5 linked regions of the Canis lupus familiaris genome follow. The protein of the gene in region 3 interacts with the protein of the main gene of each other region in a pairwise test. Links are inferred from orthologs where the notes say so. Each region holds a gene or a part of one and is shown on either strand. Other genes may lie near its edges.

Region 1 (5,014 bases), on a different chromosome or scaffold from region 3:
GGTCAGATTTGCCATCAAAACAACGACCTCTACTGTTTTCTTTTGTATTTTGATAAACACTGAAGAAGCTGGAGCTGTTCAACTTTATCTTGGGGAAGTTCTCAGAACTGGTTTATTTGGTGTCGTGGAACCTCTTACTGCTTTCAATACACGATTAGTAATCAACTGTTTTGTATACTTGTTTTCAGTTTTCATTTCGACAAACAAGCACTGTAATTATAGCTACTAGAATAAAATCTCTTAACTATTTCATGGCTTTCCAGTGCTTGGGTGCCACTGACCCACACTTACCACTGTGCACAGAGGATGTCACTGGCTAGGGACCTACATGGTGTGGCTCACTGCTCCCTGTGTTAGGTGTGCATATGACCCAGCGCCCTCTCATCGTCCACCCGCTGACTGTTAGTGCAGCCCCTGGTCTATTCTGTGGGACTGGGACGTGGAGGGACAGCAGGGTCACCACACTGGGTGTGCCCGAGGCCTGCTCTTGTCCACGCCCATCCCTGCTAGCCAGCCTGCTCCTGAGGGGTAGGAAACCCCTGGCAGGGCTCCTAGTGGCTCTTTGGCTGGAGACCATCCCTCCCACCTGACTGGGCATGCTGGTCTGGTTCCTTCTCCTGGCTGGGGGCGCCCAGTCTGGCCCCCGCCCAAGATTGTTTATACCACTACCAGGTTGAAACACCAGGGCCAGGGTTATGAAGACAGAATCGTTTTTAGTTTGATGACTTAAAGCCAAAGATGCCAGTTTCACAATCATGAGTGCACCCTGGGTTTCATCCTCCCTGCAGGCAGGCTGTAATAGGAGGGTTTAATGACTAGGTGCTCACCTCCCAGGGGTGGGGCACACTGCTGGCTCCAGGTGCACGTCTGTGCCCTGGGGTTGGACATGGTAACCCAGGGAGAGCCCGCCCCCCCCCCCCCTCCCCGCCCTACCAGCAGGGTCTCAGGCTGGTCTTGCTGGAACTTTACTGGGACATGACAGCCACCTTCCCTCAAGGATGAGAGGCTTTCCCCTTAAAATAAGTTTATTTAAGTACAAAGTGAGTTGAAGAAAAATAGAAGTGTCTCGGGGCCTTCCCAGGCAAGTGTGTCCTCCCGGGGCAGGTCCCCTGCTGGACATGGGGGCCCCTTGTGATCTGGCCTCAGTCACTGTGGTGGCTGCGTCGCCTCTTGGAGCAGGGCAAGGAATCTTCAGAGTCAGAGCCGCACTGGTGGTGCCCCGGCCTGGGGATATGGGGACATGTGGTCAGGGGGAGGCTGCCCTGCTCCCCAGACCTTCCCTCTGCCCCGGCAAGGCTGAGCACACCTACCTTGCAGGAGCTGGAGACAGTGGAGAAGCCACCCTGCTCCTGTGTGCCTTGTCTTTCTTCTTCTCTTTCTTGTGCTTCTTCTTCCTCTTCTTCTTCTTCTTCTTCTCTTTCCTGCTCTTCCTGTGGCTCTCCAGGCTGCAGGGACGTGGGGTGGCGTCCCCTGTGCACTGTCCACACAGACACACCCCCCCCTCCCTGTGGCCAGTGGGTACAGCGGTCCTTCCTTCCCGTTGTGGCAGGAAACTGCCAGGAGCAGCAGAGGTAGGAAGGCGCCCTGCTTCCCCATCCAGGGAGGAAAAGCAGGGGTGGGAGTGCACCTTGCCTCCCCCTTGGGGGAGCCCAGCAGGTGGGCCTGGGACCAAGGGGTGGGAGCAGCCCTTACCCAGGCTGCACCTTCTCCTCCTCAAACCGAGGCTTCTTCCTAGCAGAGGTGGGGGAGGCCCCTGGGCGGCTGCTCTCCACGCGGTGGTGCTGGGGAGGGAAGGAGCAAGGAAGGAAGGCACTCTAGGGGGCTGTGGGGGGGCGTCCCAGTTTCGGCGCCCGCCCGATTCTGGGGTGCCCCGCCCGCAGAGGGGGGTTTACCGTGAACACCGACAGCCCCAGCTTGGCGGCCTCCTTGTCTTCCCGGGACAGTGCCACTCGGCCTGCAGAGCCGCTGCGGGAAGGCAGGCGAGGACCCCACGGTGAGAAGGCCCAGGCCTCCCTCGGCGGGGCGGTGCGTCCACCTGGGGAGGGCCCCTTCCACCCCCCAGCCACGCACCTGGAGCTCCCTAGGCCCAGCAGCCGGTCCACTCCCTTCTCCTCATGCTCCCCTCCTTCTCGCTTGCAGACCTCCACAAAGTCCTGTGCGGAGCCAGCGGGTCTCAGGCGGGGGTTCGCACAGACTCCGGGCGCCCCGCCCCCCGTGCGCCGCTCACCTCCTTGCTCAGGCCAGTGGGCTGCTTCCTCACGTTCTTGTAGCCTCTGTGGGGGCCGCGGGCGAGCTTCAGGCGGCGGCCGGAGTCCCTGGCCTTGCCCCTCGGACCCCGCCTCGCCCCCGGGCCCCCCGAGCTCCCCCGACCCCGCGGGGCCCACTCACAGCGCCGCCATGAGTGCCTCCTGCTCCGCCTGCCGCACGGCCGCCAGCTCCTCCTCCCGGCTCAGTCCCGCGCCGTCCGCCCGGCCCTTGGCGTACCAAGTGAGGTCTCGGCCCTTCTGCCAGCGGCCCACGGGGGCCATCAGCGAGTTGCCTGCGGGGACGCAGCGCGACTGCTCGGCCCGCTGGTCGCCGCTCCCCGCCTTCCCACGCCCGCAGCCCCCCTTTCCCGCACCTCGCGCCCTCTCCTTCCCCGCCCCCGCGCCCCCGGCTGCCCACACCGAGAACCTCGCAACCCCGCTTTCCCGCACCTGCGGCACCGCGCACGGCAGCTCGGGCGTCCTCCCCCGCCCCCCCGCCCCCGCCCCCCCCGCCCCCGGGCCCGGCGCCGCACTGACCCAGGTAGTTCTCTCTCTGTTTGTCGGTCTTCACGTCCTCCCAGCTGAACTGGTCCTGCCCGCCACGCACGCCGCCCCGGCTGGAGCCGAACATGGTGCCAGGCCGCCCGCCGCCCCTGCCTCCGTCAACCCTGGCCTGGCCGCCCCGGGCGGCGCCGGCGCCGGGGTCCCGCCGCCGCGTCGCGCGCCTTGACGTCACACTCGCGCATACCCGGGCAGCGCCGCAAGCGCCTGCGCATTGCTCCCCGGCCCCGCCGCCCCGCCTGCCCCCAGCGCTAGGCGCACCGCCCGGGAAGGGAGCGGGCGTAGGCGCCAAGGCGGGTCCCGAGGATCCTGCCGGCGTTGGGAGCCACATTGTGCGGGCGACGGTCCTGGGGCTGTGCCGGGAGATGGGCGAGCGGGTGGGGCCGCAGTGCCGGGAGCGGGCACCGGGGGCGGCTCGGCTCCGGAGAAGCGGGACACGGCCTGCAACTCCCGGGGCCGTCCCCTGGAGACCCCAGCGTGGAGGGCAGGCGGGACGGCGCAGGTGCGCCAATGCACGGGCTCCTCTGGCGCCGCGGGGGGCGGCTGTGCTGGGCAAAGCAGGATCAGCTCCGAGCCCTGGACACGGGGGAGCAGCGGCATGGACAGTGTGTGAAGCCCCCCACGTGGGCGGCGGCGAGGTCCTGCGGAGCGGGGGTCGGGGGCCCACACACAGGAACACCTGGTGCAGATGGGACCTCCACTGACCAGAGCGCTGCAGACGGGCCTGGGCCTTCCGTCCACTTCACCGTGTCACCCGCTGTGGTGAAGAGCCTGCCACCTCCGGCCCCCTTCAGAAGCTAAGCAGGTGCCCGTGCGTTAGTGGAGGTCTTGCCAGGCCCACCAGCAGCAATCTCAGTAGGTGGTTTCTGCCAGAACCCCCTGCCTGGGGCGGGGGGGGGCCCTCTTAGTGATTTCCGTCACCAGCACCCACCCTGCCTTGTGGCTACAAGTCCCACTTGTCCCTGCCCCGCTCACCCTCTGCTCTGCTGTTGACCCCTGCATCGTTGCTGTGACCCCACTTCAAGGGAAGGGCAGACAATGCCGTTGGATGTTCCCAGGACCCTGCGCGTGGCCAGGAAACTCAGTGGACCACCAGGGACTTAGGAGTCCAAAGGTGGGTGCTTAATGCAGCACCCTTCGCCAGGAGCCCAGACACAGCCCCCTCCCATAGAACGTGGGCACCTTCCCCACCTTTTGTATCAGTGCCCTACGGTGGGCACTCACTCAGGTTTCCAAGAGTCCTGACAGCCCAGGCCAGGGCAAGAGGCAGGCCTGGGCCAGGCCAGCGACAAGTGGAAATGTTGGGACTTGGCCTTTTGGTCTTGCAGAAGCCTGGCCAGGCTGAAACCCACCACTGGAGCAGAAGAATGGCAGCCGACCACAGGTTTGTTGTAGTCACAGGGGCCACAAGCCCAGCTGAAGGCACCTCCCTTTGTGGGCCAGTCCACTGACAGCCCGTACCAGCATCCCTGACACCCTGCTCCTCCCACTCTCTTCTTGAGGGCCCCTGGCCCCTGAGGCTGCAGCTGGTCAGGGAGTGAGGGGCTCCAGGGCCCTCTCCTTCCTCCTCCCACACGGGCACTCCCTTCAGACCTCGTCTGAACACCACAGCCTGACCCAATCCTTAGCCACCTAGCCCACTGGGTCGCAGAGAGCTCACAACAGACTCGAGCGTGCGGGAAGGAAAGGCCAGGTGGAGGCAGCTTCGAGAACACACGGTTTAAGGACACTTCCAGGCCTGGTCATTTTTTTGTCCAAAACTGCTTGTACCGCTCCACGTCAAAGTCATCATAGAGCTCTGGCTCCTCCTTTTTCTTCTGGACCTGTGACTCTCGTTTCCGGAACCGTGCCCGCCTCTCCTCTGGGGACAGGGCATCCAGGTCCACGGGCATCTGTGGGGAAGGGCATGCACAAGCTCACTTGGAGGGCCCAGAACCTTGTCCGTGCCTCCACTTCACCTCATTCTCCACTCTGTATTTAGGGCTTTTACGTTCTGCTGGATTTTCTCTGTCATCAGAGCTCTCCATCTTTACACAGACTTGTTTTCTCAAGATTGATCATCGTTACATACGCAGCTCACCGCTGCTGTCTGGTCTGACAGATGGGGTGAGCACTCCACCTCCAGCAATCCCAGGTCATGGCTTCTCCCCCTACTCCCCCCTTTAAGCTGCTGTGGGCACAGCCCACGAGCCCCTGGAGGAGCAGCT
Region 2 (4,681 bases), on a different chromosome or scaffold from region 3:
CTCCAAATTCCATGAGGCAGCCTCTGCGCGCCAGAGTCCAAATGCCATCTCCTTCCCTGCTCTGAAAGATAAGCAGCAAGTGCCTGCCCTGCCCAGGGCTGTCCTCCCCTTTACTGCCATGCACTTGTCGGCAGGCCCACGCACCTCCTCCTCCTATTTCAGGAGACGGAGCAGCTTGGCCTGTGCTCTGAAACCCCAAACCCCGCCAGGGGCACGTCTCGAGTCTGTGTGTGTGTTCACACCAAGGCCCCATCTCACCACTCCCTGTGTGGCTTCCTCTTCTCCATCCTGTGACCCAAGGAGAACTGGTCTGTGACCCTCACCAGCTGGACCAGGATGAATCGGAGACCTGTCTCTTGTCCCTGTCACTAGCTATCATCTGATATCAAAGATAGCACCTCTTCTCCCTATGCTCCTAGTTCTGGGCCTCCGGGGGGGGGGGGCGCTTCATTTGTACCCACATTCCCTGAGTTGGCTTCATTTAGAATATGATTGTCACCACCTTTCCAATCCCCCCAGAACAGCTCTTTGCGACCAAGGCCTTCACGAATTCCTAATGACAGTGCAGGCTCTCCACGGCCTTGCAACCTCGCGCGCTCACCCGCGAGTACGCCGGGGCCCCCTGTGCTCGGCTCACCCCGGGGCCCACCCAGGCCCAAGCGCGCAGAGCCGGCCCAGCAGGTCGTCGGGGGCTTGAAGGCTCCCCGCCCCCCCAGGCTGCCACGGGGACGCCCTGGACAGCAGAGGAAAGCCCCGACGCCCCAGGTGGCTGGCGCGGGGGTCGGGCGCACGCTGGCCGCCGCCCGCACGCCGGGCTCGGCCCCCTGCCAGCGCCCACGGGCACGCCCAGTGCCTTGCAAGGATGCCCGCTCCTGGGGTGCCCGCGGCCTCCTGGCCCAGTGCCCCATTTCCTCCCGGGCGCAGTGGGAGGGAGGGAGGGAGGGAGGGTGGGAGGCGCTGGGGACCTGCGGGACGACGGGCGCAGGTGGAGAGCGGAGCGGGGCGGGGTGGCACCGGGGGCCGAGGCGGCTGCTGCCCGGGCCTGGGCCCCGCGGCCCCGAGGGCCCGCTCTCGGGATCGGGGTCCCTTCGCGCTGCGGCGGAGGCGCGGCCGGCCCGGGGCGGCCGGGGAGCGCGGGGTGCGGAGGGGGCAGGGGGCTGCGGGGACCGTCGGAGCCCGCGTGACTCAGGGAGCGCGAGCCGCGCCCAGCGCGTCAGTCCTGCGCCGCTTTCCTGTCCTGGCCGGTTTCTGCCGGTTCGACTTGCGTAGGTCCCCACCCCCGCCCTCCCGACCCCGACACGCCAGCCGGTGACGCCTCGACCGCCCGCCCCGCCCCGCCCCCACGTCGCGGCGAGCCCACGCTCGTCCCCGCCCCCGCAAGCCCGACTCCTCGCTCGAGCCCCGCCCCTGCGCGCCAGCGCGTGACGCCCCTCGGCCGGCGGGCCCCGCCCCTCCGGAGCGCGGCCCCGCCCCGCCGCCGCCGCCAGCCTATCCCGCCCGCTTGCGACGTCTGACGTCATGACGCCCGCCCCGCCCGCTCCCACGGTCCCCCGCTCCGCGCCGGCGCCGCCGGCCCGGCCCCGCCCCGCCCCGCGCGCAGTCCGCAGAGCCCGCGGCCGTGACGCGAGCGTGACGCAGGCGTGACGCGAGCGCTGCCGCTCCCGAGACGCTCGCGCCGCCCCCGCCGTGCTCGGAGGCAGCGGTAGCTGGGCCCGCGTCGCCAGGCCCGGGCCCCCCCAGCTCCCCGCCGCCCGCCGCCCGCCAGGCCCGGGCCCCCGGGTCCCCGCCGCCCGCCATGGACGACTACGCGGTCCTGTCGGACGCCGAGCTGGCCGCCGTGCTGCGCCAGTACAACATCCCGCACGGGCCTGTCGTGGGTACGCGGCGGCGAGCGCGCCCCCTCCCCGCCCCCCCCCCGGGGTCCGGCCCGCGGCCCTGACGCCCCGCGTCCCGTGTCTGGCCAGGTTCCACTCGCAAGCTCTACGAAAAGAAGATCTTCGAGTACGAGACCCAGAGGCGGAGGCTGTCGCCCCCCAACTCGTCCGCCTTCAATTTCTCCTATCGGTTCTCGGGTGAGGCCCCCGCCCCGGATCTCCACCTGGCCTCCCAGGGGGACGGGGTTTGGGCGACGGGGGGCACGGGGTCCGGAGGGTGTGGCAGGGGCGGTGGCTGGGAGGGGCACAGGAAGAAGGGAGGGGAGCCGGGGGCAAATGGTCCCGCCCCCCCCCCCTCAGACTTAGATTCGGCATCCGTGGACTCGGATATGTACGATCTGCCCAAGAAAGAAGACGCCTTGCTTTACCAGAGCAAGGGTAAGGCTGGGCGGGCGGGGGGGGGGCACCCTGGGGGGGGCACCCTGTCACCCTTACCCCCTCCCTCAGGGAGCCTGGTGTTGGGGGGACCTGGGATCTCAAGCCCGTCATCCTCAGCAGCCCCAGAGGGGAGAGACGGTGCCACAGGCTCCCACGTGGGACTGAGATTAGGGCCAGGTGGGCGCAGCCACTGTGCACCTTGCTACCGCTCTCCCCCCCTTCCCAAGGCTACGGCGATGACTACTACGAGGAGAGCTACCTGAGCACCAGGACCTACGGGGACCCTGAGCCTGTGGGCTCCTCCAAGGGCTTCCGCCAGCCATCAGCTTCACTCGCAGATTCGGACACCTTTCACCACCAGGTGAGTTGGCTGCCGAGCACCTGCATACAACCTGTGGGGGTCATAGCTGGGCTTGGACAAAACCTGGACGGGGGGGGGGGGGGGGGGGGGCGCACGCGGTAGGCCCTGTGCTTCCCGAGAGGCAAGGTAAGTGCACACCTCCCTTGGCAGGGCCGTCCTTGGGGGAGTGTCAGACCTAACACTAGGGCACCTGGGACGCCGTGCACCCTGACCTGGGATCTAGGTTTGAGATCTTTCTCAGACCCCCCGGGGCAGAAAGTAAGGTGCAGGCGGCCAGGATACCTGTCGAGTTGTGGAGCGGGTGACAAAGCCCTACCGGGCTAAGGCTGGTAACTCAGGAGGGTTTTGGAGGGAACAGGGTCCGGGTGTTTCAGCTAGGCTAGTTTGCAGTGAGGACGGGACAGGCTACAGGCTGCTGACTCTGCTGGCCAGTTCCCCTCTCCCTGACTGTTACCTGCAGGTGCGCGATGACAGTCTCTTCTCTTCTGAAGAGGACAGCAAGGACAGGTGAGTGGCAGGAAGGGCCAGGCAGCGGGTGGTTCTGGGCGCAGGCCCCCTGGCTCACCTGCTGTCCTCTGCCTCAGGGAACGCTCCGGGTATGGCCGGGACAGCGCCTACCAGAACATCGTGCACTACCGCCCTGTTTCCAACATCTCCAGAAGCTCCCTGGGCCTGTCCTATTATCCCACACCCTCTTCCACCTCTCCCATATCCTCATCTTCATCTTCCCCCACTTCGTGGCTCACCCGTCGTGCTATCCGGCCAGAAAAGCAGGCCCCTGGGGCTGGTCTGGGCCAGGACCGCCAGGTCCCACTCTGGGGCCAGCTGCTCCTGTTCCTGGTCTTTGCTGCCTTCCTGCTCTTTGTTTACTACTCCATGCAGGCTGAGGATGGCAATCCCTTCTGGACGGAGCCCTGAGGGGCTGGCTTCGTGGCCAGCTGTTCCCGGAAGTCCTGGCTGACTGCCTTAGTAGTGTCTGCTGGGGGAGGGGGTGGGGGCTTTTCTGTGTGTTCTAGCTTCGGTGTGCTGGGCTTGGCCCAGGGCAGTGCTTGCTCCCCTGCCTCGTTCTGCCCAGGAGGTGGCAAGCCCAGGCCCTCCGCGGCATGGCGGGCCCGGGCAGGCCTTCCTCTGGAGTCTCCTGGTCCTGCTTGCCTCTGATCCAGGGCCCAGGAGGGTAAGACCCTTCTCCTGGAGAGGAGAACATGGTTGTTGTCATTGCATGCCTCCTGTCTGTTGTCACCTCGTCGGGGGGGATTAACCCAGGCCACCCTGACTTTGTTTTCGTGGACACAATAAAAAGACCATTTATTTTTAACGTGTGGGCTCTCTTTGCTGGGAAGGACTTGGGCTGGGAGCCTCCAGGCCTTGGGTCTCCACGAGCAACATCTGGCTTTGTTCGCTCTCCCTTCTTGCTTTGGGGTTGGGGTAGGGATCGCATGCTACCCACGGGCACGTTTGTGCTTTACTGGTAGGGTTTGCTCCCTGACTCGTGACCCAAAGCTGCTGTAACTAGGCAAAGAAGCGTGCCCCCACGGGATGCAGAGAGCTCCCCCATAAATGCAGGTGAGGGTGCGTGCACAGCACTGGCTACAGATGTTCCGACAGGGAGGAGCCGACAGCCGGCCTCAGTACCCAAGGGCAGGTGGACAGGGAGGAAATGCGGCGAGTGGCGGGCTCCTCCCGGGCGGCCGCTTGTCCGGGGGGGGGGAGAGGCCCACAGGATGCCGCATCACCCCTGTGTAAATCCCACCCCTCACCTGCCTATGTTCTTGCTTATCTCCAGGTTTTCTGTGCGGGAGGCGAGCACCTCCACCTGCAAAGTACACACGTATTATTTACTTATTCATTTATTATTTATTTATTTACTTATTGATTGATTGTTTCTCAAAATTTTCTTTTTAAATATTTATTTATTCATGAGAAGGGGGGGCGGGGCAGAGACACAGGCAGAGGGAGAAGCAGGCTCCGTGCCGGGAGCCCAACATGGGACTCGATCCCAGGTCTCCAG
Region 3 (4,878 bases):
AGAATAAACAAAGAGTAAATCAGATGAAATCAGAACGTAACAGGAAGCCAGATCATGTAGAATGTTAGAGGCCATAGTAAGATTTTTTTATTTTCTCCTAAAGAAAAAGGAAAGTCATTAGAGGTTTCTGAGCTACCATGCTGAAAGCATACTGAAAAAGGCAAGGGTAGAAACAGGGAGACCAACAGATAGGTATAGAGAAATGAAAGTGACTTGGACCCGAGTGAAGACTAAAAGAAAAAAACTGGGGGAAGAAATTCAGGAACTCCATTTTAGACATGTAAAATTCTAGGTGCCTATTAGACATCCAGTAGGCTGCAAGGTATCAGTCTGGAACTAAGGGAGGATGCCTGGGATAAAGATTTGAAATTATTAATGAATTTATGCTATGCATTAGACTGAACATCACCAAGGGAGTCAGAATATATAGGAAAGAAAAAAGGTCTAAGGAATAAGTACTAGAGAATCCCAGCACTAATTGGATAGGAAGGAATATAAGAAGAGCCAGCAAAAGAATTAAAGAATGACCAGTGTGGTGAGAGGAAAACCAGAGAAGAGGATGTTCTGGAAACCAAACAAAGAAAGAATTTTTAGAAAGCAATCAGTGATCTGTCAATAAGATAAAGACCACTGAATTAAGTGACATAGAAGTCACCTGTGACCTTAATGAGCTGTTTTACTACTATCATATAAGAAAACACATAATACCTGTAAAGCTTTATATTCCTTTTGAAGATCTTTTATTTTATTCTGTTGCTGGCAAACCCTATTTAGGGATTCATCCTCCAATTCACCAATTTTGGATTTCACACTCTCCATAATATGTTCCAAGTCATTAGCTCGTTGTTCCTGATCGGCTGCTCGGCTTTGTTCTAGCTGAAGTTCATTTCTAAAAACAGACACATGATTTCTTCCCTTAGTATAGAAGGAAATCACATTAACAAACATACTCATCTAACAACATAACGAATTTCTAAAATTTCATTGCATTGTTAAAATTTCTGTCATATAACACAAACCAATGGAAGAAATACAAGGCACCCTTACATATCTAAGCTAAGCTATTACTGAAAGATTTACCTACTAAAAATATTTTTTAAACTTAATATTTAGTCAAAATAGAAAATTAAAGTTCAAGATTCAAGGCATTATTTTTAGAATGCATACCACTGGTATACAAACAATTCAAAAGAGAATTCTGTTTTCTTACTTAAGCTGCTGATTAGTTTCTATGAGCTCCTGGATCATGTTCTGTTGACGTGTTGTTTCCTCCACCAATGTTTTCAAATTCTGCCTCATCCTTTGTGATGACTGTTTATCAAAAACGATGAGATCTACATTTTTTAATATAATACAGATAGTAAAAAAGGCAAAAAAATTTAAGATAAAAATTAGTTTTAAAAGGAAAAAAAATAATAATAAAAAAATAAAAGGAAAAACAATTTTTTTACCATAATGAGAAAGGATAGGATCTAGCAAGAATAGGATTTGATTACCTTTAAGATCAGTTCTTTCGACTAGAGATAAAGGCTTTAAGCCATGCATCATCAACAGCACATTTATGCTTTCCCATTCTGCTTCTTCTCGCTGTAATTACAAGGAGTGAGAGAACGATCAACTTCAATATATAAAGTGAAGAAACACCCTCTCAAATATAATTTCCTTGTTTACAAAATAATGGAACTTTTTCTCCAAAGTTTCTTAATATGAATTTTTTATGCACACATGATGATTAAAATTAAAACAAATGTCTAAAAAATTAGCAGATCAAAAAGAATGCAAATAAGCACAAATAATAAAGCACATTATATAATTCCATACTCATACATATAGGCTGTAATGGATAAATTGAAACAAAAATACCAACCAAAAAACACCTTGTAATTTCAATGAACCAAACAAACCTTAGGGTTTTTTTGCTTAACCAAATCACACCAGGCCCTACTCAAAAGAAACAGCTGCAAGGTGCCTGGGTGGCTCAGCTGGTTAAGCATCTGATTCTAGCTCAGGTCATGATCTCAGGATCATGGGATCAAACCCATGTCAGGCTCTGTGCTCAGTGTGGAGTCTGCTTCTCCCTCTCCTTCTGACCCTACTACCCCTGCTTGTGTGCAGGCTCTTGCTCTTTCTCAAATAAATAAAATCTTAAAAAAAAAAAAAAAAAAGGTTTGACCAAAGTTTAAAGAAAGATAAGAAACAGCTGCCAATTAGGTCATATTTACTGAACAGTAAATTAAATGCAAGTCACACAGAAACAAGTACCACTTAATGAATAAGGTCACCAAAAAAAATCAAAATGCCTGAATAGTCAAAGCCAATGATGTAGATAGTCCCTTGTATAGTGGACAAGGTCTAACTATAAAAAGGAGTCTGTCCATCTAAGTAACTGATTCTAGTAGCGTCACTCTGAAAGATATTCTCAAGTTTTGTATCCCTGATTCTAAATACCTATTCGTACCATAAACCTGAGAGGGGGACCCTAACTCTCTAAATTTTTTTTTCCCTAACTCTCTAAATTAAGTAAATAAAAACAATAATGGGAAGAAAAGGTAGTAAGAATATACAATACAGATAAGAATAAAAATAGAGATGATTTTTTGGATATTTAAACCCATGATATTAATAGTCTTTTAATGTAAATACAATGATCAATTTGAAATCACTGTGTGAAGTTAATTTACTTGCTTTTTAAGTTATGTGAGTATATTTGAAAAGGTAATCTGAGTGAATTTACAATCAATGTTTAAGTGCTTGAAAAATATAATTTATAAAATAGTTTTTTTACTAGTGATATAGTATTAAATATTGTAATAGCTTAAAGATTAATATAGACAAAGTACATATAAAAATACTACTCTCCACATTCAAATGCCCCCAAACATTAAGCTCTCTACTGGTATGACTACAATAGCACTATTACTAACAGCACCAAATCTTTCCTTTTGACTGCTGACTTTCTTCACCTTCTTTATCCCTTCCACACTTCTCCTCCTACAATCTTTTCCCTTATTTATGTTGTTGGTCACAAAGATTCATGATCCAGAATTAAAATTACTGAAGCTATCTGCTTTAGGAACCAAAAGCTATGTGGGCATCTCAGTGGCTATCTACTATGACTCATAAAAACCAAATACTCTGTAAATAATGCCACACATTTTGAATGATCAAATTATATATATATAATTATATAGTTATTATATATAATTATATATATTATTTATAATATATATATAATATTTCAAGTTTACCTGTTTTTCAGTCATGAGTCTGTTTAATGATTTACTGGACTCCTAGGCTTTAGGGGCTGCTGGAGATATAGTATCTTTTGTTAAATCAGAAGAAGTAGATTGGCAATAAAAAATATTCACGTTGCCTAAATGAAAAAAGAAAAAGTTCAATAGGTGTTAAAGAAAATTATATTTAAAAGAATGGATAACCCTTAGGCAATTTGAGCATTCCTGTGTCAAAACTTGTATGACTTCCTAGAAAGCTGATTTTAAGAATCATTAGAATAAATCCTATCTTATAATGTTCTCCTCTAGAAATAAAACATTATGAGTTTTACACATACACACAGAACTATTTGTTTTAATTAGATATGTACAAAGCACGTGCTACTAATAAATAAACTGCTATCTTGTGGAAGCTGCTTCTTGAAGCCAAAAGAACTATACCTGACCCAAAGTTATAGGCCAGTCTAACAATTCACTGGACTAAACACCAAGGGTAAATGCAGTGCCACTTGCTTAGGTAGTCTGTATTTCTAAGTAGATCAGAGGCTAGCAACAAAGAATTCTGTGTGACTGGCAGACACAAAAGTTTATATTCAGTCTACCCTACCATTACTTCTTCTTATCATCTAAGACTTTATCATCCTATAGGGAAATTTGGATTCTTTGGTATGTAGATATAATTCCTCCTTTCAAGAAGCACAATCATACACATTCATTAGCATCAGGAACTTTTAGATCTTGAGAGGACCTTGTATAGTGTTTAATCCAAAATCTCTAGCTGTTCATAGCTGGCAGAGCAGCATATGAGAGAGTTGTACCAAGACATCAGGTACTATAACCATCTGAATCCCAGAAAAGTGAAATGATCTTCTCAGAATTACTAAGGAAAAAGGTAGGCCTCTTCACTGCCAGGTAGTATTTCTTCCAAAGCACCCTTCTACTCTTTTATGTCTGTTTCAGATAGTGAAATCCAACCAAACAATTTACCAGTCACCCTTAAGTCTGGTCTACAGGGTACAGTCTTTCTACCTTATTTTCAGATAAACCCAATAACATGTTACAAATTCCCAAATTCTGCCACTTTTGTGCTTAATGTCATACTATCTCCCCTGTAAGCTTTGGTCTCTTTAACAACTCAACCACCCTTACTTTGGTAACCCATCCTGCTTTTACAAACCGTTCACCTAGTTATAATTTCTCCTAGGCTTTAGGGGCTGCTGGAGATATAGTATCTTTTGTTAAATCAGAAGAAGTAGATTGGCAATAAAAAATATTCACGTTGCCTAACTGTATTAGAGAAATTTTTAGAAATATACAAAAATAAATAAATAAATGTAAATTTAGAGAAATTTTTAGAAATATACAAAAATAGAGAAAGTATAATAAATCCACGAATACAGCTTCAATGAAAGCCAACATTCTTGCATTCTTATTTCATTTCTTCAATGTTTAGATTTCAGTATACATCTTTAACAAATACAAACTTATTTTATTTTATTTTTTTTAATTTTTATTTATTTATGATAGTCACAGAAAGAGAAAGAGAGAGAGGCAGAGACATAGGCAGAGGGAGAAGCAGGCTCCATGCACCGGAAGCCCGATGTGGGATTCGATCCCGGGTCTCCAGGATCGCGCCCTGGGCCAA
Region 4 (4,950 bases), on a different chromosome or scaffold from region 3:
TACAACCACAGATGAATATTAGGTGACAGCAGGACATACAAGTGGGAAAATACATAGTAGATGGAAAAACCTGGAAAAGGGTATCTTAGAGGCATTATTTAAAATATTTTTAACTATGATATTTAAAACTATGGGTTGATGAGACATCACAGGCAAGAAAAAAGTAGTTAAGAGATTATGGGGCAAATAATAAACCTCTGGAGGAACAACCGAGTAGGGAAGAGAAGAGAAGGAGACAAGGGGGAAAGTGGTAGACAAGTAGTTGAATAGATAATATAGAGTCATGGATGATGAGGAAGGGAGAATTCAAGAAGTAGGAAATGATCATGAACGTCACATAGAGCAAAGTAGTCAAACAGGAGGAGGATTTGGAAAAGTATCCTTCATGGCACTTAACATAATTGAAATGAATTATTTGGGTAAATTAACATCTTTCCTAAGTAGACTAGAAATGCCTAAAGGTCAACCTGGGTGTTGCATACTGTAACCTCAGTTTATAGCAGTGCCTGATGCATAGCCATCATATTTATTGAATGGATAAATAAATGAATGAATATAATTCCTTTTCTTAATAGCATCACAAGTGACCCTAGGAAGTACAATGACAATCAGGTGAAGATAGATGTTATTGTAATTGCAGGAAAATTTAAAGAAATTTAGGTTTTAAAAGAGATAAAATAGGTCATAAGGCAGTAAGGGGCTGAGTTTATTAAGTACTTCCTAGAGATGTGTTTTGCTGAAAGGAGAGAGAAATCAGATTGAGGAAATTTCCTATCCTAGAATACTATATATTTAATAGGTTTTGTACGGACATCTGCTGGACTTCCACATGATCTTCCAGAACTTAAGGTAGCCACTCCAGTCGCAAGCTCTACAAGTGATGGAAGCAATGGAACCAGTAGAATTAGAAGCCTATGGGTTAGGGACAGCTGAGTGGCTCAGCGGTTGAGCATCTGCCTTCGGGTTAGGGTGTGATCCCAGGGTTCCAGGATTGAGTCCCGCATCGGGCTCCCAGTGAGGATCCTGCTTCTCCCTCTGCCTATGTCTCTGCATCTCTGTGTCTCTCATAAATAAATAAATAAATAAATAAAATAAATAAATAAATAATACATACATACATACATACATACATACATACTCTTTTTTTAAAAAAAAAAGAGAGAAGTCTATGGGCTAGGCATGACGGAAGATGTGGAGAAAGCACGGTAAGCAGAAGTCAGAGGAAACAATGGCACTACTCACAGAAAGACAGAGCCAGGAATGGACCCAAGTTGGAGAGAAGTTAAAGAATCCTGTGAAATCATTCAAAAGCAGGAATGCATGTGTGGGGTTGAATGTGTGAGGGAGAGCACATGCACGAGCAGCATATGGGATGCACAAAACAGTTACGAGTAAATTCTAAATAGGAAGTACTGAAGATGATTAGCTAAGTTATTACATATGCTGGCAAAACAGTCATAACATATGCCATTGTATAACAGAGCTCAGTTAGGTAAAACAAACTGCTCATTTCACGTATTAAAGTTGCATTTCCTTAACATACTAAATAAGTAAGAGAGAGTAGTTTCAAGGAACACACCAAATGTGCCTCCAGGCCACAAAGGAGTAGAAACATTATTTCATTCCCTAAACTTATTAGAAGACATTATCAAGCTAGAATAAAACGAATGGCAGCGCAAACCTAATTCCCAAACTGACGCTTGCAGAGAATTTCAGAAAATCATAAGCACATGGGATAAACATTTGACAACAAAGACACATTTTCTCATCATCTCCCTTACCTGTTTCCCCAGTATTAGTTGCCCATATGTAAATGTGTATGTGCGTGTGTGCGCGCATGCGTGCATGTGTGTTTACACTCAGGGATGTATAGATCTATTTAAGGATCTCACCAGAGTCCATTTGAATGTCATCATGCACTTAAGCCACAGGGTATAAATTATAACAGTCTTGTGCTTAAGCTGGTACCCAAACAACATATAAGCAACTTATTATATAGCAAAAAAACCTGAACACTAAATTCCTGCGTTTAAAAGATGTTTTAAGGAGGCTCAGATTTAAGGTGTATTTTTAAATACATTATCACATATGAGTAATATTTGCAACTTACAATTTTGAATACTTGATATAGATAACTCCTTTTTTCTCCCAAGTACAGAGTTTGATGTATTATGCGGCAAAATGTATTTTCCCTTAAACGAGGAAGATAGTACTGCTAACTAAAACAATCCATATTAAAGAGTAATTTTCAAAATCTGATGCATCTTTCTAGTGTATATTCATATTCACTCAGTATCTCGTCCCCTCATGGTATTAAAACCTCACCTTCATGTTGAAATTATTCCTGGGAGTTCAGGCTTTAGCAATCTTTCTACTAAATTTACAACCACAGTGGATATTTAACCATATCAAGAACAGGATTATAGCTCAACAACACTAAATAAAACATCTGAGTTTTTTAACAAATGAAATTCAGAACAGAACTTCTATCGAGAGGGATGAGAGGTTTTCAGCAAAGTGACAATACTTTTGCTGTGAACCTGATCTATGTCACAAGGATACATATTTGCTTATGTAGACACTCATTTTTTCGTTAGGATTTAGTGCAATGTTTCAATTTGTAGATTAAATTAAGTGCTAAAAACAAGAAGATAGATTTCCCTTCTCAAGCCATCAAATTTATATAGCAGTCCAACAGCCAAAATGTTCTTTATATATTCCTATCCTCCTCCTCTCGTCATAAAATCTCATATCAAATGGTGGAAGAAGTCATTCATTTCCTGACAAATCCCAACCCCTCAACACACAAAAATACAAAAATCAAGAAAGGAGACGTCACACTGAAGACCCCTAAACACATTATTCTTACCTCAATCTGATGACTAGAACATTTTGTAGACACAGTTTTCTTTCAGACACACCAATCGGGGAACGCTGGTCTACTTGACCCTCATGGAGTGCTAGGAGCAGGAACTTGAAAAACCAGCCTCTCGTGTTCCCACAATCTATTTACACACTGAACACACCCAGTAGCACAGAGTAATGTTTATCTGTGGTGGACAGCTATTCCATGAAGCAGGCAGTATGTCCACTTTCAAAAAGGAATGTCTCTGTTGATCAGCAGGGGAAAGGTAAGAGCTGTTTCATCTGCTAAAGCGCATTTTGGAAGATTTGTGAAATGAGATATTATTTAAATTAATGTTTTAAAGGGGATTCATTATTTTAATATTCTGTTCCTTATAATATTCTATTCTCAAAAGATCTGAGAAAAAAATATACTTAATGATAACACATATGTGCCAGGTGCAATTCCAAGTTTGTTACATATATCATTTCCCACAAGTTCAAAAATTTATTAAGTATGAACTCTTACTATCTCCCTACTACACATGGGCAAAGTAGGCATTTTGCCTACAGTTACCCAATTAGTAAATGGTAGAGCCAGAAGTTAAATCCAGGCACTCCAGCACCACAGTCTGTGTGTCTAACTATGATACTTCACTGTGTACATATAATTTCTTTTTGTATGTATAATTTTTAAAAGATAACTGCAACAGGATGTGGCTGCTTGGCTGAACATTAGATAATGAGTGAAATTTTCTTAATATTTTACTATACTGCATCTTAATTTGGAGTCAGTAAAAATTCTGGAAGATTATTTCCCCAACATGATTGTTCATTTATATGATCATAGCAGGCCTCATTTTAGATGCAATGGCCCTTTGGGGTGCCAGGGAATTGAGTAGAAGATGGGGTCTGACTTTAAGTACCAAGAGAGTTATTACTTCCTATGTTTTAAAAAAGTGTCTCAATGATATCTATTTTGTTCTGTTTTTGTTTTTTGATTGGATAACTCCTATTTATCTGTCTTTAAGTTCACTGACTCTCTTTGGCCACCTTCAAGCTGATGTTGAGCCCAGCTAGTGTATTCTTATTTTGGTTATTATAATTTTAAGTTCTAAAGGATTTCTTGCATTTAAAAGTGAGCAAAGTGAGCAAAGTGAGCAAGTGAGACAAACAGCAGGCAGATGTGCAAAAGCTGACATAGTTGTTTCTGGGGTTTAAAAACTGGGAAGCATATGGAAAAGTGAGTCTTTCCAATTCCTAGGTAGGTTCTAAAGTTTTTATTTGGTTATTTATAGTTTCCACTTACCTGCTGAAATTCCCTCCCTGTTCATTCATTAAGACCATATTTCTTTTATTCTTTGAACATATTCTCCTGTAGTTCTTTAACCACAGAATAATTGCTTTAAAGTCATTGTCTTAAAAGGCCAACAACTGAGCATCTTGGCTTCTTTTTTTCTTGACCAGAGGTCATATTTTCCTGTTTCTTTGCATGTTGAATAATTTTTATTGTTCACTGGGCAGTGTGGATATGTTTAGAGATTCTAGATTCAGCTATCTTACTCTGAAGAGTGTTGATTTCTGTTCTAGTAGGCAGTTCAATAGGTTTGGTTTTATGCTTTGTTAAGGTAGGTATGTAGAAAATCTAAGGTCTTCCCCAAGCCTGGTTCATTTTAAGGTATCAGACTCCAAATGCTATCTCTTCTCCATATCTCATAAGGGTAGGGTTTTACAATTTTCAAGGGTAGATCTATTATAGGTTTTACTTTAGGGCACGGTCTTTATTCCTAAGGCTTCTGGGATCTCAGGTGGATGCCCACGAGATTAATGAGGTATTAGCAAGATCTCTTCACTCTTATTGCTTGGAGCTTCCACATCCCCCAGCATGGGCCAACTGGTAATATCTGTCCGTTCTCAAATCTGTACCCTCTAGCCACTCCTAGGTAGTCTAGCCCTATGAACATGCAGCCCAGTTCTCAGCCAAAAACGCTTGGAAAACCTCCAAATGGACTTTTGAAGACCTTCCTTTATATAGCTACTTCTTCTGTGATGCCTCGTCTTAAAAATTTCAGCTTCTTCAAATTGAACTCTGTTCAATTCAAACTG
Region 5 (4,860 bases), on a different chromosome or scaffold from region 3:
AGGCCTCCAGGTGAGTATGTCCAGGCTCAGGGGATGGACCTCACTGTCAGGCTCCTGCCCTGTGCCCCTGTCACCACCTCCCACCCGTCCTGGCTCCATACGTCACCTTTCAAGGTCTCTCTCATGGACCCTGTAAAATCAGTGTGCTGGAGGTAGGCAATTTCACCTTTCTCTGAGCTAAGTGAAACCATCTCAACTTTGCTTTCAGAGGTGAGTTAAATTTCAGCTCCACTCTCGGCTGCCAGGCTACAGGGGGAGGCAGTGGGGGGTTGGGTATCCAGGGTCCCTCCCTCATAGCCAGCCCACAGTGCACAGACTGGCCTCCCGCTGGGTGGCCTCTGGAGCCAGGGCCTGGAGTCCCTAGTGTCCTTGGCCACTCCGGGCCGGCCCAACTTTGGGAGCGCCAGAGACCCTGGAGTCCCCACAGGCCCAGAGATGGCCTGGCTGAGAGCCTGGTGAATAGGCCTCCCCAGCTGTTTGCTGCCCACCATCAGCCCTACCTTCTCACCTGGGAGGTGAAGAGGTGCGTGGACGGACACGCGGACAGACACGGGGACAGAGCCGGGGCAGGTCGGGGGGAGGTGGGCGGCAGAGTGCTCCCTCCTAAGTTCCAGGATAGAATCCCACTCTCTTCCTGAACCCAGAACCTGGCCTTGGCCTCTGATTGCGGCTGAGTGCGAGGTCAAGAGCCCAAGCGTCCCACGTCTGGGGCAGACAGGAGTGGCAAGTTTTATGGGGTGATACGCAAAAAGTGAAAATAACCCTCCCAGTCTCAGACTGCCTAAATGGAGCTTTCTCTGCCAGATGTCGCAGGGGGAAGCCAGCCTTATGTCGGTCCCGGATGTGGGGTCTGGTTAATCATCACCATCCCAAGCAGGCTCAGCTCGGAAAAATCAAGGAATGAATCAAGAAGCCCAGAGCAGCACCCTCCAGGCTCCTCTCCCACCGGCCCTTGGCCGTCCCACCTACACGGGCACAGAGCTGGGTGGGGAACGCGATCCTGGCGATCCTGGCGTGAAAACCTAACTTGCGGGGTAACCTGCCTGACGGGCCTTAATCAACGTTGAGGGCCGCACACAGAACAAAGCCCTGAAACCCAACCCCTGTGTGCTGCGCAGATCAGCCCGCAGGCCCGGAGGCCGCTGGGGGTGAGGGGCGGCGAGCGCTGGCCCGACTACACCCGGGCGCTTCCTGCACGGCCGCCATTTCCCGCACACGGAGGGAGGGCACGGCGGGCACCGGCTCGCAGCCCTCCCGGGGCGCGCCCACCGTCGGCCAGCCGGGGGCACAGAGGCTCCTCGGGGTGGGGGACCCCTTTAGGCCATTCACTTCCTCTCAGACTCGCCAGAGACGGTCTTACGCGCTGGTTTTGCAGAGAAGGCATTTGCAAATGACCAAAATGTCGGAAAAGTAACAGTGGACGGTGTCCCTATCTTACAGCTGTTTTGCACTTTCATAAAGGAAATGCTTTGCACTTATTTTGGCCAATTCGACACCCTGCCAATTGCTCTGACTTGTAAGCATTTCATCTGGGTTACTAGAAAAAAACAAAACAAAACAGACCTAAATTTTCAGACAGCCTAAAAAAGGCCTAGAATGCTCCCACTGGATTAATGAAAACATGGTATTTCTGTGCCCTAAACGAACCATGAGCTCTGCATTATGCCCCAGACAGTTAGCATCTCCTCGCAGCAATGTTATCACCTCTAGAAAAGCCAGTGACTCGGATCTGTGGGAGCCGCTCTGGGGCAGCCACGCGGCAAGTTCAAAGCCGGGCACACACCGCTGAGGTGGCGGGGCCGCACTCTGCTCCGGCTCGGGTCTGTGGGCCGTGACCACAGACACAGCCGAGGACCTGCCCCAGCAGGGGTGTTGGGTGAGGGGCTGGCCCGCACCTTCTCCGAGGTGGTTCCGGCTTTGTTGGCGCCTCAGACGCAGGCGTGAAAGGCCTGAATCCAGGTCAGACCGGCTCTGATCCCGAGCCCTGCTCGCCAGAGCCAAGCCCTTCCCTCCGAGAGCAAACTGCGGAATCCCACCCCGGAGCCCCCCCACCAGGCCCTTCCCCGCACCCTGCGCCAGCCGAGGAAACAAGGGGCCTTGGGAGCTGGCACATCGGCGGCCAGCAGGGGAGCTTTCCAGAAGGTCCCGTCACCAGGCGGAAGGCGGGAACCCTGGCAGCCAGTGACCATGAGCTGCCTTCAGGGTGGCTAGAGGACACCCACTGCCTGGCTGCTTCCGCCCGCCGACCTCAGCGGCCCCGGCCAGCCTGAGACAGCTCTGCAGCCCACAGCCCTCATGCTCAGCCAGAGGGGCACCTCCTTGGAGGGGAAGGATCACCCTGGCCCGCGTCTGAGCCCGTTGGCCACCGTCACTCTGTCTGCCCTGGGTCAGCCAGCCACTCGAAGGACTCTCCCCACACAGCAGCCTCCTCAGGCTGCTGGCCGCCGCCTCCCGGCTTGCCTGCCCCAACAGGTCTTGCACCTGAAGGACGGCGGGAGGCCGCTCCCCGACCCCGGCCGGCAGCCTGGCCTGCAGCCTGGCCTGCACGTTCCGCACTGTCCCTGCATCCAGGACCCCCCAGGCCTCAGAACAGACATCAGAGAAGCTTTGGCACCAGTCACCCCGAATACCTGTCAGCCCGTGGTGAACCGCCTGGGTGCCCAGGTTTGGCTTCTGCCCAACCTGCCCCCAACCAAGATCCAAACTCGGAGCGGCTTGGAGGCGGGCGAGGACTGCCGGCCTCCTGGAAAAGACCAGCTTCCTGCCTCCCGCAGCTCAGGCTCCTCACAAAGGGAACTCTTAGGTTTACACGTGTGCAGGTGGACAGCTGGCCTGGTCTTTCAGGGAAGTTTGGAGAGCGACGGGGAACAATGGAGGCTGTGGCGGGTCCTTCTGCAGCTGTGAAGGGCAGGGCAGGGAAGAGACGGTGGCCCCAGGCTCGCCTTACATGTAGGGCCTCACCCCGCCCCATGCAGGTGCCTGCTCACTGCCGACCAATCTCTGCTCCTGGCCGCCGACAGGTGTGTCCCCTGGGCTCCCATAGGCCAGGAGGGAGGCAGCGACGTGACGCAGCGGCAGGGCGGGCGGCAGGCCCCGCACACATTCCTGCCCCCGCCTCGCCCAGCTCGCCCGCCTCGCCCGCCCGCTGCTGCCGGGGCCCAGCTTGAACAAAAACCAGGGAGGAAGGCTTCTGTAGGAGCTGCCATGCATGGAGTGTGCAAGCTACCGTCCTGGCCCCTGGGCACCGCCTTGCCCATGAGGAGGGGGCCACTGAGGTCACAGCCTGCACCCTCTGCTGGGCCCCAGGCCTGGCCCCGCAATGGCCCCCTGCACCCCGGGACTGAGGCTCCCATTGATAGAAGGCCAGGCCTGGACCTGCCCCTCTGGCTCTTGGCCCCAGCCCCAGGCTGTGGCAGCAAAGGGGGGGTCTGCCTCCCCTGTATGCCTCCAGCCACGCCCTAGGGCAGGAGGCTGCAGAACGGGGCAGACACGTGTCACATAGACCCACATGTTGGGGATGCCAGGCTGCCGGAAGGCCCCTTCTGCCGGGCAGGGGCCGGTCTGAGGGCCCCGTCCAGTTTGGGGGGGTAATGCGGGGACACTCCCGGCGGAAGGTCCCGTGATGAAACACAGCTTCACGGGTAATTGGCCCCACCAGCAGAGATCCCTGAGGGCCCAGCTGTTTTCCATAACGACCCTGCAGCTCTGCTGTAAACTCCTGGTGACAAAGGGCCTGTCCCCCGGGCTGCCAACGCTGGGGCTTGTTCTACCCCAGGAGCCCAGCTTGGTTCAGCCTCACCTTTCCATCCAGGGCCTGGTCTTACACCAAAGGCTGTCCTCCAGGGTGGAGGTGGCCAGAAGAGCTGGTGGCTGCCTCAGAGGCCCCCCCTGAGGGCGGTAGCACTTCAGGGAGTGCTGTCCCATCCCTACTGCAAGAGAGGTCCCAGACGATGGCTGGGTGTTCCCCACCCCCTGTCCAGGAGTCCTCATGGGCCTAATCACTGGGGTCCTGGTGGAAGACCCTCTGAATCCACTCTCTACCCCAGAAACCTGGCCTTCTGCCCCAAAGGCAGTGCTGGGGGTGGGAGCACCTGCCTTGCCTCCACAGGGGGCAGTGGGAGTTGGTCTAGTTCCCCTGGTCCCAGCCTTGGAGCTTCAGTGATCTCTGACACTCCGACCTTCCCACCTCCAGCCCCAGGGCAGTGTTGATGAGGGTGACCCACTAGGCATGCCCCTCCTCAGGGCTGTCAGGACCACTCACTCAGGAGGTGTGTGTGGGGGAAGGATGCACCTGGCCTGGCACCTGTGTTTTGGGGAGACTAAGGCATTGCTCACTAACAAAACTCAAAGGCATTTGCCGTTGGATGGGAGTGGGAGGAAGGGCTGCTCGCCGCTGACCCCTGTCTCAGGCCCACAGCCTGACGTCTGCACGCTGCCCCATCCTCTCAGTCACAGAGCTGCTTGGTGCTGCCCTGCATCAGAACCACCTGGCTCTGCCCAGAAATGTCGGGTTGGGGCTCGTGGGCATTCAGAAGCTCCCAGGAGGATGAGGGGTGGCTGCAGGAGGCCACAGCCAGTGTTCACTGAGCCCCCAGAGCCAGGATGTGGTGAGGACAGGGTGGCTCCCCACTCAGTTGTGACATCTGGGGCCACTGGGGAGGACAGGGACAGTCGCCTGTCAGGAAAGGGGCACCCGGGTGAGGGAGAAGTGAAATTTTGCCAGGTCGCAGGCCCGCGGGGTGGATGCCTTTTGCTTTTTGGCCACTCAGTGGAGCCTGGCCTGCTGTGACTACTCTGATCCTGTGGTCAGCTGGCCGAGGAGGACATCGTACTTTCCATTGACTCTAATGCTCACATGCA

What was found. The genes of interacting proteins can lie anywhere in the genome.
Region 1: the proteins of CEP70 (region 3) and C14H1orf35 interact in binary tests that used the Homo sapiens proteins (3 or more experiments, as listed by UniProt). The two-hybrid records come from large-scale screens. The link is inferred for Canis lupus familiaris from reciprocal best matches to the Homo sapiens genes CEP70 and C1orf35.
Region 2: the proteins of CEP70 (region 3) and EMD interact in binary tests that used the Homo sapiens proteins (3 or more experiments, as listed by UniProt). The two-hybrid records come from large-scale screens. The link is inferred for Canis lupus familiaris from reciprocal best matches to the Homo sapiens genes CEP70 and EMD.
Region 4: the proteins of CEP70 (region 3) and SYTL5 interact in binary tests that used the Homo sapiens proteins (3 or more experiments, as listed by UniProt). The two-hybrid records come from large-scale screens. The link is inferred for Canis lupus familiaris from reciprocal best matches to the Homo sapiens genes CEP70 and SYTL5.
Region 5: the proteins of CEP70 (region 3) and TTLL10 interact in binary tests that used the Homo sapiens proteins (3 or more experiments, as listed by UniProt). The two-hybrid records come from large-scale screens. The link is inferred for Canis lupus familiaris from reciprocal best matches to the Homo sapiens genes CEP70 and TTLL10.

Annotation. Positions count from the first base shown.
Region 1 is NC_049235.1:507,459-512,472, reverse strand, and holds C14H1orf35 (multiple myeloma tumor-associated protein 2), read right to left. Parts: upstream 2,972-5,014; 5' UTR 2,878-2,971; coding exon 2,784-2,877; intron 2,540-2,783; coding exon 2,389-2,539; intron 2,274-2,388; coding exon 2,228-2,273; intron 2,154-2,227; coding exon 2,071-2,153; intron 1,966-2,070; coding exon of another isoform or gene 1,893-1,965; intron 1,782-1,892; coding exon 1,693-1,781; intron 1,446-1,692; coding exon 1,311-1,445; intron 1,225-1,310; coding exon 944-1,224; 3' UTR 694-943; downstream 1-693. Other genes in the region: MRPL55 (39S ribosomal protein L55, mitochondrial), read right to left, coding at 4,550-4,699.
Region 2 is NC_049260.1:123,237,130-123,241,810, reverse strand, and holds EMD (emerin), read left to right. Parts: upstream 1-1,706; 5' UTR 1,707-1,795; coding exon 1,796-1,877; intron 1,878-1,964; coding exon 1,965-2,072; intron 2,073-2,234; coding exon 2,235-2,312; intron 2,313-2,539; coding exon 2,540-2,673; intron 2,674-3,106; coding exon 3,107-3,180; intron 3,181-3,257; coding exon 3,258-3,591; 3' UTR 3,592-3,988; downstream 3,989-4,681. Other genes in the region: collagen alpha-1(I) chain-like, read left to right, coding at 564-923, 986-1,312. UniProt on the Homo sapiens protein: Stabilizes and promotes the formation of a nuclear actin cortical network. Stimulates actin polymerization in vitro by binding and stabilizing the pointed end of growing filaments. Inhibits beta-catenin activity by preventing its accumulation in the nucleus.
Region 3 is NC_049244.1:35,300,435-35,305,312, forward strand, and holds the start of CEP70 (centrosomal protein of 70 kDa), read right to left. Parts: upstream 3,409-4,878; 5' UTR 3,264-3,408; coding exon 3,249-3,263; intron 1,588-3,248; coding exon 1,497-1,587; intron 1,335-1,496; coding exon 1,211-1,334; intron 890-1,210; coding exon 709-889; intron 1-708.
Region 4 is NC_049260.1:32,902,159-32,907,108, reverse strand, and holds the start of SYTL5 (synaptotagmin-like protein 5), read right to left. Parts: upstream 2,994-4,950; 5' UTR 2,870-2,993; intron 1-2,869. UniProt on the Homo sapiens protein: May act as Rab effector protein and play a role in vesicle trafficking. Binds phospholipids.
Region 5 is NC_049226.1:56,838,227-56,843,086, reverse strand, and holds the start of TTLL10 (inactive polyglycylase TTLL10), read right to left. Parts: upstream 2,994-4,860; 5' UTR 2,972-2,993; coding exon 2,631-2,971; intron 1-2,630. UniProt on the Homo sapiens protein: Inactive polyglycylase.